Coturnix japonica: one gene and its partners. The protein of the gene in region 3 binds, or shares a complex with, the protein of the main gene of each other region. Links are inferred from orthologs where the notes say so. Each region holds a gene or a part of one and is shown on either strand. Other genes may lie near its edges.

Region 1 (5,644 bases), on a different chromosome or scaffold from region 3:
GCCGCCGGGGCCTTGGAGCGGTGCTGCTGGGTGGCTCAGGGATGTCGGGCTCGGGAGGGGCCTCCTCCTGTGCCAGTGTGAAAAGGACAGTGCAGGCAGTCAGCATCCCTAAGGGGAGCAGGCACAGCCCAGGGGTGCTGCTGCCTTGGGGACCCCGTCCTGCTACTCAAGGCAGGAGTCCTGGGGCTAAGCTTTGCCTGCTGTCCATTGATTTGGGGTGGAACAGGGCAGTAGCCATGAGATAGCCATGAGCCAGGAGTCCCACAGCATTGTAAGAGAGATTTGCAGGCATGGATCCTGCTGGGTGATCTATGTGGTTTCCTGGGGCCACCAGCTCCTCCTGGGCTCCTTACCTGGACGTGCAGCTTGTGCTGGAGCTCCATGGGCTCAAGGAAGTTGCAGGGGACGATCCCTTTCTGCAGGGAAGAGACAAAGGGAACAGATGGTGTTAGTCGACCGTCCAGGAGATTGAAGGAATGATTTCTGTATGGCACCCCAAGATGGGCAGCAAGGGTGAACCAGCTCACTTTATTGCCTTGAGCACATGTGGTCAGGCAAACAAAGCAGCACATCTGGCCCCTGCCTGGTAGGAGCAACAGGAGCAGGACACCAGGAGGTTGCCTCTACCAGCTCATAGCCCCTCAAATAGGGGATGCAAGGAAACTGGGTTCAGAAACTCCTTCCAGGCCTCTGTAAATCTCCCTTTTGTGCCAGGCAGACCCCCTACCTTCCCATTGAACATCACCGTAGCCCAGTTGTCCTTCTCTTTCTTCAGGACAAAGACGATGTTTCCTGGCAGGACCTGCAGCTCCTCAGCAGTTTCAGGGATGAACTCATACAGGACACGGTGTGGCTGCCCTTCAAGAGCCCTGGGAATGGAAGCCAGCATCATGTCAGGAGCAGGGGGTGATGCTACTGTTCTACCTCATAGGGGGGCCTAAACTCTGCTCCTTTGTTTCTCTCCTCCTTTCCCCCCACTGGTTCTGAACACTCAGCTGGATGGTGCAGGACACGGCTGCACCAGGCTGCACATGTTTGCAATGCTGCCAATGTTTCATCCAACCTACCTGAGGATTTCTGGTGTCTTGGGCCTGGGTGGAGGCCCAGAGGCCTGTGAAGAAGACAGAAAGAAATCTGTCATAATCTGGAGGATTTGGGTTGCTTTGCAGAAATGTCCTGCAGTTCTTTCCCATGCCTGTGTGGGTCCCTCCTTCTCATGCTGGTATCAGGTCATCAGTTTCCTTCTCCACTCAGCCCTTATGAATCTCATGGGGAGGATTTGTCACCGCCCTGAGCTCCCTACCAAAACCACCACCCCACAATGGGGGCATGGGGTGCATTCTGAAGGCCTGGCTTCCCCATAACCTCTGCTCAGACATGAGTGGGCTTGGGCTGTGACCTCTGGTGAAGGAAGCAGCTGGGATGTGGGAGCAGCTTCTTCCTTACCCTGGCCGTGGTAGGAAGCTTGGCCTGGTGACACTGCTCTGTGTCACCACTGTCACCCCTTCCCTGTGTATGCTTGAAGCTCTTTGCACCATGTGGACTGCAGGGGGTTGGTTCCTTACCTGTGGCTGGAGGGGAGCAAATCCTGAAAAACTATCCTTGTCCACCACGGATGCCACCACCTACAGCCAAAGGAAGACATGCTGTGACCTGGTGCTTTTCTTACACCTCTGATCTCTCACATCCACTGTCCTCCTTTGCTGCCATCCAAGTCAACCTCGTCGGGTGTGGGTGCTCTGGGTTTGTCTCCAGCCTGCAGACACAGCTTGCATTAACGCTCCTTTCTTACCATGGCTTTTCCCAGGTAGTCTTTCTTCTCCAGCTGAGCAACTTGCTTTTCATTCGGTCGAAACAGCTTCCCTGTGGGAATTGCCACTGGCTCATAGAGCTGCTGCTTCTGTAGCAGGGAGAAATCATTAAGGTTGGAAAAGACTTTGAAGATCATCTAGTCACGGCCCTCCATAGGCAGGCACTGTGCTGAGACCTGCTGCTCCTCACCAGGATGGCTTCCATCGCCCTGTCAATCTTGTTGTGCTGGGGCTCACTCTTTGAGCTCATTGCCAGCGTCAGGTGCTCCTCAGCTTTCTTCCAGTCCTCCATGGTGGCATACACCAGCGCGATGTTGTAAAGGATCTGCAGAGGGATGGGAGCAAGGAAATGGTCTTTTAGAGGCACCAGACCCTTGCTGTGGGTGTTTTTTGCTACCCTAATGACATCCTTGCATCACACCAGCTCTCCATCCCCACCCTGGTGTGCCTGATTTATTTTGTAAGGCGTGAGTCATAGAATCCTTCATTTTGGAAAAGAGCTCTTAGATCACCAAATCCATCCCCGCCGTGCTCACTAACCACGACCCTCAATGCCACATCTCCACAGTTCTTGGACACCTCCAGGGATGGTGACTGCAGCACCTCCCTGGGCAGCTGTGCCACTGCATCACCACTCTTTGGAAGGAGAAATGTTCCTCATATCCAACCTGAATCTCCCCTGGTGCAATTTGAGGCCATTCCCTCTCATCCTATCACTGTTACCAGGAGCAGAGGCCGACCCCACCTCACCACAGCCTCCTTTCAGGCTCCTCCACACTGCCCCATCCCATTCCCTCAGCTGCTCCCCATCACACTGTGCTCCACACCCCACACAATTCCTTCTCTGGACATGATGAGCCCATTGAAACACCATTGGGTGAATTTCCCCTGGATTCTGTTGAGCCAGTGACCAAGACTGAAACACTATTTGGTTTCTCTCACCTCACAAGCAAAGAGCCTGTAGCGCAGCCCCAGGATCTTGTAGTCGATGAGCTGGTTGCCTCTCAGCTGGGCCAGAGCCTGCTTGAAATCCTTCATGGCCATTTCATGGCTGGGGAGGAGAGGACGAGGTAAGGCCTTGTGATGGTGTTGTGATACCCCGCATAAACACTTCACCTCAGGGCTGAATCCCTGGTACCCCACACTGCCCAAGGCCAACAGCTGAACGAGGGGTAAAACTGAGGTGCTGAAGCTTTGCACTCACTTGTGTCTCTTGTAGAAGACAGTTCCCCGCTGGAAATAGGCCACGGCCAAGTGCTTGTCACAGCTGATGCTCTGTGTGAATGCCTGTAGGGAGCAGGGCAAGAGGGGTGAGAAGGGAGAAGTGGGTGACAGCACTGCAGCACTGCGAGCTGTGCCTTACCTCCTGTGCGTCGGCCAGCTGCCCCAGGACCAGGTGGATGCAGCCAATGTTGAAGCAGATTTTGGCCGGTGGGTTCTGGACAGCAGTGAAGGCCTTCAGGGCTGCCCCCCACTCCTTGCCATCCGCTGCACACACTCCCTCTTGCCACAGCCGGATGGTCTCCACCAGCGACATTGTGGTGTGCCCAGCTGTGCCCAGCTGTGTTGGGTGCTCTCCTGCCCAGCCTTCCCTGCAGTGTGTGCCTTCCTTGTCCAGCTCCTCCCTGCTGCACGTCTGCCTGGTGTCACAGACCCACCAGGAAGTGGCCTCGGTGGCGTCAGAGCGGCACGGCCCTGAGATGGGGAAGTGGAGCTGCCCTGCCTCTACAGGCTTCCACTTGGGGCTGTACCTGCATTGCATCACGTCCTCCTTGGGTTGTGCTTCGGGGGGCTTCGTGTGGGGGTTGTCTGAGGAGAGAGATCAGCAGCTCCTCGTGTCACACATCTGCACCTCCACAAAGGGGAGTGCATCCATGGTGTGATGCTGCTCTGGGGGTGAGCAGGGCCATGTGATGTGCACAGTGCTCATTAGCTCACCGCCTCTTCCCGTTTCACTCAGCAGCAGCCAGCAGAACAGAGGCCTTCCCTCGCGTTCAGCTAACTGCAGAATTAAAGTCAGCTTCAAGATATCTCAGACTCCAGGTTAAATATTCAGTGACGATTTATTTGTCTCGTTTTTATTACAAAAAAACAAAGAAACCAACAAACAAAAAAAGCAGATATCAAAAAACAGCAAAGATTTCACAAGTCATCCAACCGTTTCACACAAACGGAACTGTTGTAAAATGGTCTCAGTCCTGGCCCTGACCTTCCGTGGTGAGCTGTGGGCTGGGATGCCCAATGCTTCCTTAATTCCTTTTTAATATACTCCTCTTTATATTGGAGCTTCTATTTGCCCACTTGCTAATGCAAGTACAGCAGGGATGTCAACTGTCTGCTAAGCCTTAATTCTACATCCCTTTACTTCTCCTGTGTAGGATCTTTAGCTCCAGTGTAAATGGACCTTTACATTCTAGCATACGGATGTACAGCTCCATCCTCGCTGTGATCTGCCTGCTGTGCACCTGGTCTATGACTGATCACAGCACATCCGGAACAGGCCACAAGGTGTGAGGTTAAGGACAATAGCTGGCTTCATGGAATGATGATCGGTCAGAAGGAAGCTGCTCTTTTCTGTCCTACTCACTGCTGTAGGCTCAGAGGTTGACCAAAGGAAACATGGTCCAGTTACCAACGTTAACAGCTGCCCCACTTCTCAAATCACACTGTTTGGCTGGCAAAAAGGATTAAGACATTGCCCTACGTCCCTCAGCACTTGCGTGGAAAGTCAGGCCCAAATCTGCCATGATTATACACAAATACGAATCACCCTAAATATGTTGTAAATGTAGCTATGCGTGTCACTGAAATGCTCGAGTACCAAAGAGTCCTGTTAGAAATAAAATTGCACCTTCATAGTTTTTCCAGAGTTGAACAAAAAGAGATCACGATATGCGTTACTTGTCAGGTATGAAAGAAGCAGCGAGAAGGCAAGCTGAGAGACAGGCGCTGCCCACAGGGCAGCAATGGCATCTGGTTGGGTTTTGCACCAGCATTTCCCACACCACGGAGAGCAAACAGCCCTTGGTTGCTGAGTTAAACCGTTTTCCTGGCGGTCAAAACACGGACGATAGACCCAACTCCACCAGCAGCCAGCGCCTGAGGAGAGAAACATGTTGAACTATGTTGGATTATTTTGTTTGCCCCAGTCTGACTAAAAAAAATTGTATAAATAAATCGAACTATAAATGCAGAATCATTACTCGAGGAATCAGAAGAATGAGGAAGAACAAGAGAATTCTGAGCGTGCAGGACAGTGCAGTCCTCACTGCAGGAAATGCAGCACTTGGCTGCTGGCACTCTGTGGCTATAGGCAACTCCAAGCTTTCAGAAGGGACAGGTGAGGAAGGAGGGGAGGCGTTCGCTCTCTATCATGGGAGGAATAGAGTGCCCCGCAAGAATGGCCACAATCAAGTTGAAAGCTTATGTGTGGTGCAGTCAACATGCCAAGGGACGGGATGTTGTTCAGAGAGACCTAGACAGGCTGAGCAATGAACAAGGAGAATCTTGTGGAGCTCAACAAATCCAAGTGCAAGGTCTTGCACATGAGTCATGACAACCCCCACTATTAGTGCAAGTTGATGGATAAAGGATAGAGCACAGCCATGATGGAAATGACTTGGGGGTTGTAGGGAAACTGTTAGGTCATGGCATGAATTGGTGATTGAGCTCCAGGTGAAGGGCTGTGGCTGGGCCAGGGAACACAAGCAAACTGTTTGCACCTGTACTTCCCATGTGACCAGAAGGGGTGAACCCACGGTGAATCCACCCTGGCTCATATAAGGGCCAGCCATGGAAGGATGAGCATCTCTTAGGCCTGCTTTGCTTCCTGA
Region 2 (5,458 bases), on a different chromosome or scaffold from region 3:
CTGCCTCTGCTCCTAAATTCCTTCATCCACTTTAACTTCTTAAGAAGGGCTTCTGTTTCTCAGGGTTGTATAAAGCAGCTATCCCACATTAAAACCAGCGTCAGCTGGACTCATAAGTGTCTTTGAGGATCCCAGTTTCCTTGCTTCTCAGTAATGAAGTGTAGATGAGGGCTTCAAAACACCCTTTGATATCTTTAACCTTTAGGATTTCCAGGTATTGTATATCAACATAGGGATTCTCAGAAGAGGGCAAAGAAAGAAGGGAACAATCCTATCATTGCTGTCTGGCAAAAGTTGATTTTGCAGCAGGGAAAGGAAATACATCTGAAGGAGAACCAGAGTAGGAGCGTGGAGTATGACCCACCGTCTGTGGGTAAGAGAGTGGCCTCAGCCTGTCGTAATCCTCTTGTCCAGCAGTATCCCAAAGCCCCAGATTTACAGGCTTGCTGTCAACCATCACATTGGCAGAATAGTTATCAAACCTGAAATGCAGAGACATATTCTGAGGCTCAAAAAGTAGAAGAGGGATGAGGCAAAATTTTTTACTCTGCACATCTCATGACAAGAGGCAGATTCTTTTCTGTTGTTTCTGGTGTATTTTTTCATGTTTCATAAGGGAAACCAGTGACAGGAAGGAAGCAATGAAAAGACTTTTTGAACTTGCTCATGACACACGCTGCCATTGTGAGATAAGCCTTACTGCAAGGAGCACAAAATGGCCTCCTTTCATCATCTCCAACCACAAGTCTCAGGCATGAGGAGAAATGTTGTGCAGTCCACAAACACATGGCCATTTCACAGCCACTCCCAAGGAGGTGAGTAGATGGAGTAGACTCCATCTGCTACTTGTAAACTTGGCAGGCATGTAGACCCTTGGGTTAATTAATGTTTTCCAAGTGTTCCATTTATACTTTGGTTTTCTAAGTGCTTTTGGTGAAAGGTGAATGACAATCTGAAGTCATGTTGGTTTGGCTTCTCTTCCTCTACTGGTATGGGGGTTCACGACAGCATTCCTTTATAACCTGCTTTCCGTGCCTCCCACCCACCCCCAGACTGCAGATGTGTCACTCACACAGTGGGGATGTATTCTCCTGGGAAGGCATTGGTGGTGTAGCTGATGAGGAGACAGGTTTTCCCCACAGCTCTGGAAGAGAAATAAAAAACATAGCTGGGAACAATGGTAGTACAGGTAGTCTTACAGGGGTGAGATGGAGAAACCCTCCCATGACTCAAAGCTACAAGTTTGTTAGGAGAACTATGGAAGGATTATCACATTCACAAGACTAGATATCACATAGCCATAGATTTGACTGCCGGATGGAAGGAAGATATGCTGTCACCCAGAGCAGTCGGTTGTCTTTGAGCACAAAAGCTTGTTTTTATGGTCTGGTATGAAGACTGTTCAGTTAGACTACATCCAGGTGGGGATAAGAGCCCCTTTTCCAGTGTGTGCACAGTACTGCACACTCATAGCCAGGATAGCCTCACAGTGTCCTGGTGCAGAAATGTCAGAACTAAGCTTCCCAGCTGTCCGCAGCCTTGACAGTTTGCACCATCTATGAGCCACTGCAAGCTGCACTATCAACCTTACCAAGAGCTGCAAGCCACCAGTAAGGTGCCTCTCCTTGTGGCTGACTGAGGCTGCTCACACTTTTTTTGCGCATATAGCTGGTGCTTCCTCCTTCCTCAGCCTCTCCCACCCACACACCGCATCAGGGTGGAGAGAAATAAGTCAGGGTAGCAGCACAAGACAGAATGGGCAAGAGGACTGGTGGAGACACTCCATCTGGCCATGAAGCAGCCTCCAAGCTTTTCATCCATACCTGCAAAGTCTACTTTTGCAGAGCTGTGGCTCTGTGTGTTGGTGTGCCCTTGTCATGCACAGTTGGCATCTTTGCTCTGGTGGTGAGGCACTTGCCTCAGTCATCACACTGTGAAGCAGCTGAAGATGAAACAGTTCTTCAGCATGCTCTGATGCTTTTTTTTCTCTCTGCCACCTCCCATTCTTATATCCTCCTCACTGAGTTCCCTCTCTTTCCCCAGCTTCCCTCTTAGCTCTTGTTGTAGATGACCATGGAGGCTCACTCTATGCAGAACGGCTCAGAAGACCTGTGGTGCCAAGGGGGTGAGTTAGGCATGGAAAGGAGAGAAGGTTCTGAATTAGTGTGACTGAACTGAGAGGAGCACAAAGGGTCACCAAAGGGGTGAAGGTTATGGCAAAGCAGGTTCCTGTGATTGAACTCAGGGAGAGCTAAGAGGCAGGTGATATGTGATGGGGCTGGCTATGAGGCCAGAACAACTATGGGGGAACATGAGGGGTCAGTTAAGTGATGGCAGAAGGTCCTGTGGTCAGTAGGTTTGAGTTGGTGGAAAATGACAAGGCTGGTTTGGCTGAGAGGGAGATGAAGGGGGTGAAATAAAACCACAGAGCTCAGGGTGGTGACAACTAGTTGGAGGGTGGGGGAAGTGTACAGAGAAGCAGAATTATGGGGCAGACAAAAGATTTAGGAGGATTTCAGTCAGAAGGACGTGTAGTGGAGTCAGTGGTGTTATAAGGGGAATGCTGCCTTGAGGGGTGGTTACAAGAGTCAGCATAATATATGGAGGGCAACCCACAGGTTAACAGGACAACATATCAATGCCCAGTACTGTTGCTCTTCCAGCTCTAGCCTGTACCCTTTGGTGCACTTTTCCAAAATGTAACAATGTTTACACAGCACTGTCTCATTCCCTGTCTCTTCCTCCAACCCTGTTGCCCCAGCCTCTGAGAATATGTCTGACATCTATTGCTGTTTGCAAACTTCTTCCTCCATGGGGTAGATCTGAAGGAGGAAGTGACTGTGGGGAGCAGGGCTGCTGCAAATGTCTCTTCATCTGTTGCCTGATAGCTGTCCCAGATAACATTCTGGCCAGCTCCCAGCTAGGAAATGAATTAACCACCTCCATGCCTGATGACCTGCTCCCTGCTGGACTCTGCTCCCTTCATCCACTCATCCCACCCATCCACAGACCTTGTACCCCAGGTCCCCAGCACCACTGCCTTGCTTTTTGTCAGCTTAGATCGATTTCCAAAGGTCATGGGACATGGACAGTGCATGCTTCCAAGGGGTATAAACCTACACCCATCTCATTGCAATCCCTTTTTCCTTGCGCCCACAGAAGCCCATCACCAAATACTCTCCCCACACACTGAAAAATGGACAACACATTAAGAAAGGCTGAATGTGCAGATACTGGAGGATATCTCATCAGCACTATGGCTCTGCATCTTCCTTTGGCCAGCCCCAGTGAGCAGATGGCCTTCAAGGAGCCATTCCCCTGCAGCAGGGCGCTTGCACCTCTCAGATTTTCAATCTGACTCCTACCCATAGGTTGAATCTGGCAGTGATGCCACTGCCTTCTGTGTGTGAGCCAGATCTGCCAGGCCTGTGAGTGACAGTTCCACTTTTGCAAATGCCCTTCAAAGCACCCTCTTCTCCCCCCCCAGGCTCTTCAGAGCCAAGTTCCTTGCCATGGTGAAGAAAGAGGAGCAAGAAATGCAATGCAGAGCTGTAAGAGATAGGAAATGAAGCTGGGGAGGTCTCAGCAAGCAGCAACCTTCTTCCTCACCCCTCATCACCACTCCTCCCTCCCACAGAAAAAGAAGGGGATACATACCCATCTCCCACCACGACACACTTGATGGCTTGCATGTCCTTAGACCTGTGGTGGAGGACAGTGCCTGGGGCAAAGGAAAGTCAGGTCAAGGCAAACAGCCAGTAGACACGGGCAAATTTGGGTATCAGACCTTGAGCCGGAGCAAGGGGTCAGGTTGCAGGGAGGGAGGAAGTGGAAGAGGGAACTTCACTCAATCGCCCTCTGGTTCCTCCTCCCCTCCCACCGCAGCTCTGCAGTGAGGCCGTTAGCTGTAGGCGGAGCGTGCATGACTTTGTGGTTTGGGAGATTATTGCTGTAATTTTTTTCTTTTGCACCTCATGTCTCAACCCACTGCCTTCCTGCCCCATCCGAGCCAACATCTGGGGGCACCAAACTGCTTTTGCATGGGAGCTGAGGTAATGTTGGAGAAGGGTGAGAAACTGGAAGAGTGGGCTTTCCCCTCTCATCTGTAGCATACAGAGTTTGAAAGAGGTGTAAACAGGCAAGAGGACCTGCAGTGAGAGTAGCAAAGGACATGAGGCAATGAGGATTTCCCATGTCTTCCCTGTATCAAAAGGACAAGAGGTAATGGCCTCACGTTTCTCTGGGGAAAGTTCAGATTGAATATTAGGAAGAATTTCTTCTCAGGAAGAGCAGTGATGCAGTGGCACAGGCTGCCCAGGGAGGTGGTGCAGTCACCGTCCCTGGAGGTGTTCCAGAGCCGTGTGGATGTGGCACTGAGGACATGGTCGGTAGGTATGGTGGGGATGGGCTGGCAGTTTGATTGGGTGATCTTGGTCTTTCCAGCTCTAATGGGTCTATCCCTCAGTGTCAGTGGTGAAATAAGCAGTCTCTTGGAAGCAGCATCTACCCCATGGCTGCTTGTTCCACCACCCCTGGAGCAATAATGTCCTGTGCCTCCTCCTCATCTGCTCCTGAATTACTAGTACAAAGAAGCATTAGGTGTATCTATGTGTTTGTCATGAAGAGGAGTAAACATATCAGAGGATGTACTGAATTTTCTTTATCCAGCTGCTACTAGAAGAGCTAAGAATTGTGCAAGAGAGTCCCCACAAACCATTTTCTCTCTCTCCACTCTGTGCTAAAGCAGCCTATGAGAACTGCTGATAGGATATCCTTCATCTTGTCCTTGGGATTTTGAAGAGTTTTAGAGCTAAGCAACAAAGAGAGGGATGCAGTCACCTTCAGAAATAAGAGACATGGTGCTCTACTCCTTCCTTTCACTCCTCAGAATGAGAGTCTGAAGCTCCTCCTTACTTCCCCCAGCTTGCATTGCTATGCCTGGAAAAGAGCGCACATGTTCATGTCTTCAGCCTGAATTGATGGGTAGACAGATAGAGGCACACTTGAGAGAGGAAGGGATGCGGTGACGCAGAATTAATTAGAATTTCTAGGTCTGTCAGGAGGCCTGTTAGACCAAGAGCAGTGGGTGTTAAGCCAGCTTGTTCTTGAAAGAAGGAATGCCGAGGGAAACTGCTTTTCCAAAGGTTGGTGACCTTCGTGCTGCCACAGCCACAGGAGGTTTTTTGCAGTTGACCCATTCAGGTGTGTAGCACTTTCCTATCCGTCACTCAGTGTTGGCTGCAACCCAAAAACATTCAACCGTGGAAAGTTTCCAAGCCTCGCGGCTGTGTCAGAAGCATAAAACTACCAGATGTACTAGGTGTTCCCTCTGTGGGTGGTAGGGAAAGGGGGGGGGGAGGAAACCCACTGACTCCTTTGCAAGAGCAGGAATGGGATGTGGAAATGCAGAGAATATGGGTCAGGAAGGACAGAAGGGAGAGTCACAAAGGCTGCTATA
Region 3 (5,168 bases):
CATAAGGCAGCAGCCCTGGGCTCTGCCTTAGCCCTCCCCAGTTATTTATTCCCCCTCAGTGCTATTTATTGAGACCTCCATGTGCTACTGAACGCCAGCCTGAAAATAAAAGCCTGACCCCACAATGTGCCACACTGGGATAAATGGGAGGGCAAAGGGTTGAGGTGCACAGGGTCCCCCTGTGGATGCTGGAGGGGAGGTGCCAAGGATGCGGGGATAGAGGTGCATTGGGAACCCCCATCCCAGCCACCCCAGTGGATGCTGGGGGGCATCTCCCATCCCCAAAGCACACCCAGGGGAAGGGGGAGGCAATGGGGAGGGAAGGGGGGGGAATGGGGGCGGCCCCATGCCAGCACCCTGTCACCACCCACTCCTTTCTCACAGCTCTGCCCCAAGCACTCACATCCCATGGACTCAGCGCCACCTACCGGGGTTGTTCCATATGCTTTTAGAGCACCCATGGGTGCTGGAGGTGGGGGGAGAGGGGATATGGGGCTGGGGGTGTCACCTCTGGGTACCCTAACCCTAACCACTGCAGGTCTGTCCCATCGCTGGGGTCACTAAAGATTTGGGCACTGAGCTCCCAACTCACACCCAGGGCACATGAATGGGGTGTGATCAGGAAGGATCTGGGGCCTTTCGGTCCTTTTATTGCAAAAAGCAACCAGAAAAGAAAAAAGACAATGTATAAAACGTGAAGAGGTGGCGCAGCAAGCAGAGCTGCGTGAGCCCACAATGGGGCTGTGAGGCTGGGGGAGCTCCTTGGGATATGGGGGCACCTGAGCAGCCCCCAGGGATTCTGAGGAACCAAGGGGGGGGAAGGAGGGGAGATGAGCACCCCTAGGGGTCTGGGGACCAATGGGGGGGTGAGGGGTACAGTAGGGAAGTGAGTGCAGCACTGGGACCCCCAGCTCCGTGTTACTCAGCCTCTACAGGGATGGGGTTCACCTGCCCCCCCACTTCTGCTGCCTGTTTCCTGCGTGCATCAGCAGGGGGTCGGGGTGGGGGGTTGCTGGGGGGCTGTTTGATGGTGTCCCCCATGTGCGGCCGCTCGCGGGGCTTCTGCTCAATGGGTCGCCATTCCTCCCCACGCACCGCTGCCTGCAGGGCCAGGGGGGAGCAGTCAGCAGGGAGCCCCCTCCTTCAGCCCCATAATCAGCCCCCATTACCCCCCCAGAGGAGCTCACCAGCAGGTAGATGCCACTGGCAATGCCCAAACAGACGGTGCCCAGGATGGTGGAGAGCAGGAAGCCAGCAGGGACGGCCAGCCTGAGGGTACAGGGGAAGGTTAAAAGGGGGGGGGGTTCAGGTTCACCCCCCAGCCCCAACCCCACTCACGCTGCGTGCAGGATGGCACGGATGTAATAGTTCCGGGTGAGCGGTCCAAACACCTTCAGCACTGCTGTCATGTACTTCTGGCCACTATGGGGCAATATGCAGAGTCAGGGGGGCACCCGGCCCCAAAAGACCCCCCCCCTAAATATATATAGGCACCCCAATAGCACCCCATCACTCACCAGCGCTCCATGGTGGAGCCCTTCTGCCTCTTGCTGCGTGGGTATTCCAACAGGCAGACGAAGGCGCCTGCAGCACTGCAGGGGGATGGGGGTCAAGGAAAAGGGGGGTTTGGAGCCAAGGGTGGGGGTGAGACCCCACAGGGAATGGGGCAGAAATGGGGCCAGGGTTGGGGGGCAGCTCCATAGGGAAAGGGGCAGGAATAGAGCGATGTGGGGCCACAGAGAGGGAGATGAGGGACCCCCCCCCCCCCCTCCCCGCCTGCACAGAATAAGGTGCCCCCTCCCACCCCGAGCCCCATAAGGATACATGGCGTAAGCTGCGAAGTACCAGCCCTTGAACTGCCCCGCCACCGCCACGATCCCTCCGGTCAGCATGACTGCGGGACAGCGGGGACACTGCTGGCATCCCGGCTATTAACAGCGGGGGATGCTTCGCGTGGGACCCCCACGAGCCCAAACAGGGAACGGGGCGGGGGGTTGGGGGTTAAACCCTATAGCGGCCGGGCTGGGGGGCAGCGGGGGGGAGACCCACGGTGACACACGATGTTGGTGATACGCTCCGGCAGCGCTTCCGCGTCCTCATCGCCGCTCACTTCCTCCATCTCCGGGCGGGGTTGGGCCAAAACGGGATGGGGGGGTCGGGGGGGAACACAGCCAGGGGTCTCTCCCCATATCCCGTATCTATAGCCTCACATTCTCAACCCTACACCCCCAGCCCTGAACTCCCTTCCCCATATCCTCACCCCCATCCCTGCATCCCCATCCCACATGGGACCCTTTGACCCTCCCCCCATCACCCAGCCCCTTTAACTCCCCATCTCCCCCCCGCACTCACTCAGCCCCGCCGCCAGCGCCTGTTCGTTGGCCCACATGGCCCATTCGATCTGCCCCATGGTTCGAGCTCAGCCTTAGTTCGGGCTCGGCCCAACCCGACCCGGAAGGCAGCGATGGAGCCGAACAGCCGAACCCCTTCCCCTCCTTAAGCGACGCCCCTTCGAGTAACCCACGCCCATTCATTACAAAGACACGCCCCCACGAAGAGCCGGGCCGTAGGGGGACACGGGGTGATACGGGAATATATAGGGTGACATGGGAATATATAGGGTGACATGGGAATATATAGGGTGACATGGGGCAGGAGCAGCCCTAATGGGGACCACGGAGCGACTCGGGACTCAGAGCAGCACTGCGGCTGGAAAACCTCTATTATTTGATTAGAAAAGAGTAAAAACCAGGCAATGGGAGGAGCCACATCTGGGTCGGGATGGGGACAGATGAGCACAGCATCTCACAGCCCCAATGCAGGCAATGGGACGGTGGGTCCCTGCCTGTGTGCCCCCCAGGGGCAGCCCCCATTGGGCATCCCTGCTGTCCCCAATGGTGTCCCCATCACGGTGTCCCCATCACGGTGTCCCCTGTTCTCAGGCAGAGTGGCATGGCAGCCCATCGGGGCCCAGTAGATGCTGGCTGGGGGCATCCAGGAGCTGTGGGCCAGGGCCAGGCTGTGGGGACAGGAGATGTGTTAGGGGACAGCACGGAGCAGGAGGCTCAGGACCACCCCCACCTCCCATACCTTGGTGTGTAGGATGTAACGAATGGCCCCTGGTACCGGATCCATCACCACGGCTGACAGCAGCTCCTCTGGCAGCACCGCTGTGCCAACGGGTCGGCCTCGAAGGAACCTGCAGCAGGGATGGCACCCAGATGTCCCCAACCCCACCCCATGTCCCATGGTTCCATCCCCATCCCCATCCCACCAGTCCCCGTCCACATCTCCATCCCTATCGCCATCCCACCAGTGCCTATAGCCATCATCTCCATCCCCATTCCCACCCAAATGTCCCCATCCCCATTCCCACCCCCCCAGTCCCAAATGACAACACCCTTACTGGTCCCCATTGGAGCTGGGTGGGAAGCTGCGCCTCACCACCTCCACAAACTCATCCACTGTATCCTCCAGCATGAAGACGACCGCATTGGGGCCAGCATCGAAGGTATAGGCCACCTGGGGACAGGGACACAGTGAGAGGGGTGCAGTGCCAGCAGGACGGGGCCATAGGGGGGGGGCTGCCCTACCTTGGTGCACCCATGGTGGGCATTGAAGCGATGCACCAGGGCGATGATGCGCCGCGAGATGTCATTGAGGTAGAAGATGGGGGGGAAGGTGTCGAGGCAGGTGGCGTGGAACTGGTTGCTGTCCTGCATGGTCAGCTGGCCAAAGGTCTCAAAGTCTCGATCCTGGATGCAGCGAGCCATGCGGGTCATGCGCTCCGGCACCACCACCTCAGCACGGTACTATAGGGGCAGCACCAGGGGGGGGTCATCTCATGGATCCCATAGGATTCACTTCCCATGGCCCCTCAGTACTCAGCCATTGGAGGAGGTGGCCATGATCCCCAAACCCAACCCATCCCACCATGCTCACACCCCGACACCTCCCCACCTCCCCATGCAGCCTGTGCTGCTCATCACCAACCATCCAACCCACCTTCAGCAGGGGGCTGGTGTCCACACTGGTCTGCATCCCCGCCGTGCTGCCCACCGCCTTCTTCTCCCCGCTGACCTACACCAGAACACAAGACATGGGGCACCCTACAAGGCGTCCACCTCCCACCCCCAGCATCAACCCCATCCCTCACCACCAGCACGAGGACACTCAGCTCCGGCCAGTGTGTCTCAGGTGCCAGCTGCTGTGCCACGCTGTCTCTACCATCCGGCCTCTCCCCACGGTTCCATTGTACGAAGCCCCCCAACATACTGCGACACGCGCTGCCCGACCCACGCCGTGCCACCTCCGACAGCTCCCCCTCCACACCATAGAGCCGTGCCAGCACCGACACTGCAGGGATAACAGCGTTATGGTCACAGCGTCCCCATCACCCCCCACCCCATTGCTGCCCCCCATACCCACCCAGGCAGGCGTAGCCAGCAGCTGAGGATGCCAACCCAGCAGCGGTGGGGAAGTTGTTCTCGGAGGCGACGTGCACTTTGTAGGACAGGCTGAGCGGGGCTGCAGCGTCGTCACCGCGTCTCTTACGGGCCAAGCGCCGCACTGTGCAGGGATGGGGTTATAGGGAAGCAAAGGACACGGCTCTGTGCCCCCCCAGCCCCCAGCCCAGCTCACCCTCCCTCAGACAGGCCTGCAGCCGGGGCTGTGCCGCATCCACCTCCTCTCCATTCAGCCACAGCCGGTCCTCGGTGAAGTCACGGCAGGCAGCAGCCGTGGTTGTGGTCCTCAGCTGTATGGGATGGCACTGAGCTCATGGGGGGGGGCACACAGCCCTGAGGGTGGGGATATGGGATCCCCAGGGTTTGAGGTGGGCACCAACCTGGTCCTGGTGCAGCGTGACGCTGAGAGAGGAGTTGATGGGCAGGATGAGCTCGGTGTCACGCTTCCCCCCTGCAACAGATGGGAGAGGTGAAGCAATGCTTGGCATGGCACGGTGCCACTGTGCTCAGTGCCACTTGGCATGGCATGGCATGGTACCACTTAGTATGGCATGGCATGGCACAGCATAGCATGGCATGGCATGGCACAACATGGTATGGCATGGCATGGACCCACTTAGTATGGCATGGCATGGCATGGCATAGCATGGCATGGCACTGCTTGCTGCCCATCAGCACTGCCTGGCACAGCACAGCACTGCT

What was found. The genes of interacting proteins can lie anywhere in the genome.
Region 1: cytochrome b-245 light chain (region 3) and NCF2 share a complex: the UniProt entries of both Homo sapiens proteins name them as parts of the phagocyte NADPH oxidase complex. The link is inferred for Coturnix japonica from reciprocal best matches to the Homo sapiens genes CYBA and NCF2.
Region 2: cytochrome b-245 light chain (region 3) and RAC2 share a complex: the UniProt entries of both Homo sapiens proteins name them as parts of the phagocyte NADPH oxidase complex. The link is inferred for Coturnix japonica from reciprocal best matches to the Homo sapiens genes CYBA and RAC2.

Annotation. Positions count from the first base shown.
Region 1 is NC_029523.1:4,316,740-4,322,383, reverse strand, and holds the start of NCF2 (neutrophil cytosol factor 2), read right to left. Parts: upstream 3,867-5,644; 5' UTR 3,750-3,866; intron 3,741-3,749; exon of another isoform or gene 3,621-3,740; 5' UTR 3,574-3,620; coding exon 3,175-3,573; intron 3,099-3,174; coding exon 3,016-3,098; intron 2,863-3,015; coding exon 2,754-2,862; intron 2,137-2,753; coding exon 2,002-2,136; intron 1,901-2,001; coding exon 1,793-1,900; intron 1,626-1,792; coding exon 1,566-1,625; intron 1,112-1,565; coding exon 1,068-1,111; intron 870-1,067; coding exon 728-869; intron 417-727; coding exon 354-416; intron 68-353; coding exon 1-67. Other genes in the region: ARPC5 (actin-related protein 2/3 complex subunit 5), read right to left, coding at 4,848-4,910. UniProt on the Homo sapiens protein: Subunit of the phagocyte NADPH oxidase complex that mediates the transfer of electrons from cytosolic NADPH to O2 to produce the superoxide anion (O2(-)).
Region 2 is NC_029516.1:46,919,907-46,925,364, reverse strand, and holds the start of RAC2 (ras-related C3 botulinum toxin substrate 2), read right to left. Parts: upstream 3,867-5,458; 5' UTR 3,693-3,866; coding exon 3,658-3,692; intron 1,145-3,657; coding exon 1,073-1,144; intron 483-1,072; coding exon 365-482; intron 1-364. UniProt on the Homo sapiens protein: Plasma membrane-associated small GTPase which cycles between an active GTP-bound and inactive GDP-bound state.
Region 3 is NC_029526.1:16,406,143-16,411,310, forward strand, and holds cytochrome b-245 light chain, read right to left. Parts: upstream 2,666-5,168; 5' UTR 2,649-2,665; coding exon 2,353-2,648; intron 1,895-2,352; coding exon of another isoform or gene 1,825-1,894; intron 1,593-1,824; coding exon 1,518-1,592; intron 1,423-1,517; coding exon 1,339-1,422; intron 1,270-1,338; coding exon 1,188-1,269; intron 1,102-1,187; coding exon 919-1,101; 3' UTR 624-918; downstream 1-623. Other genes in the region: MVD (diphosphomevalonate decarboxylase), read right to left, coding at 2,939-3,019, 3,091-3,199, 3,407-3,522, 3,594-3,812, 4,006-4,080, 4,157-4,356, 4,429-4,569, 4,642-4,756 and 1 more. UniProt on the Homo sapiens protein: Subunit of NADPH oxidase complexes that is required for the NADPH oxidase activity that generates, in various cell types, superoxide from molecular oxygen utilizing NADPH as an electron donor.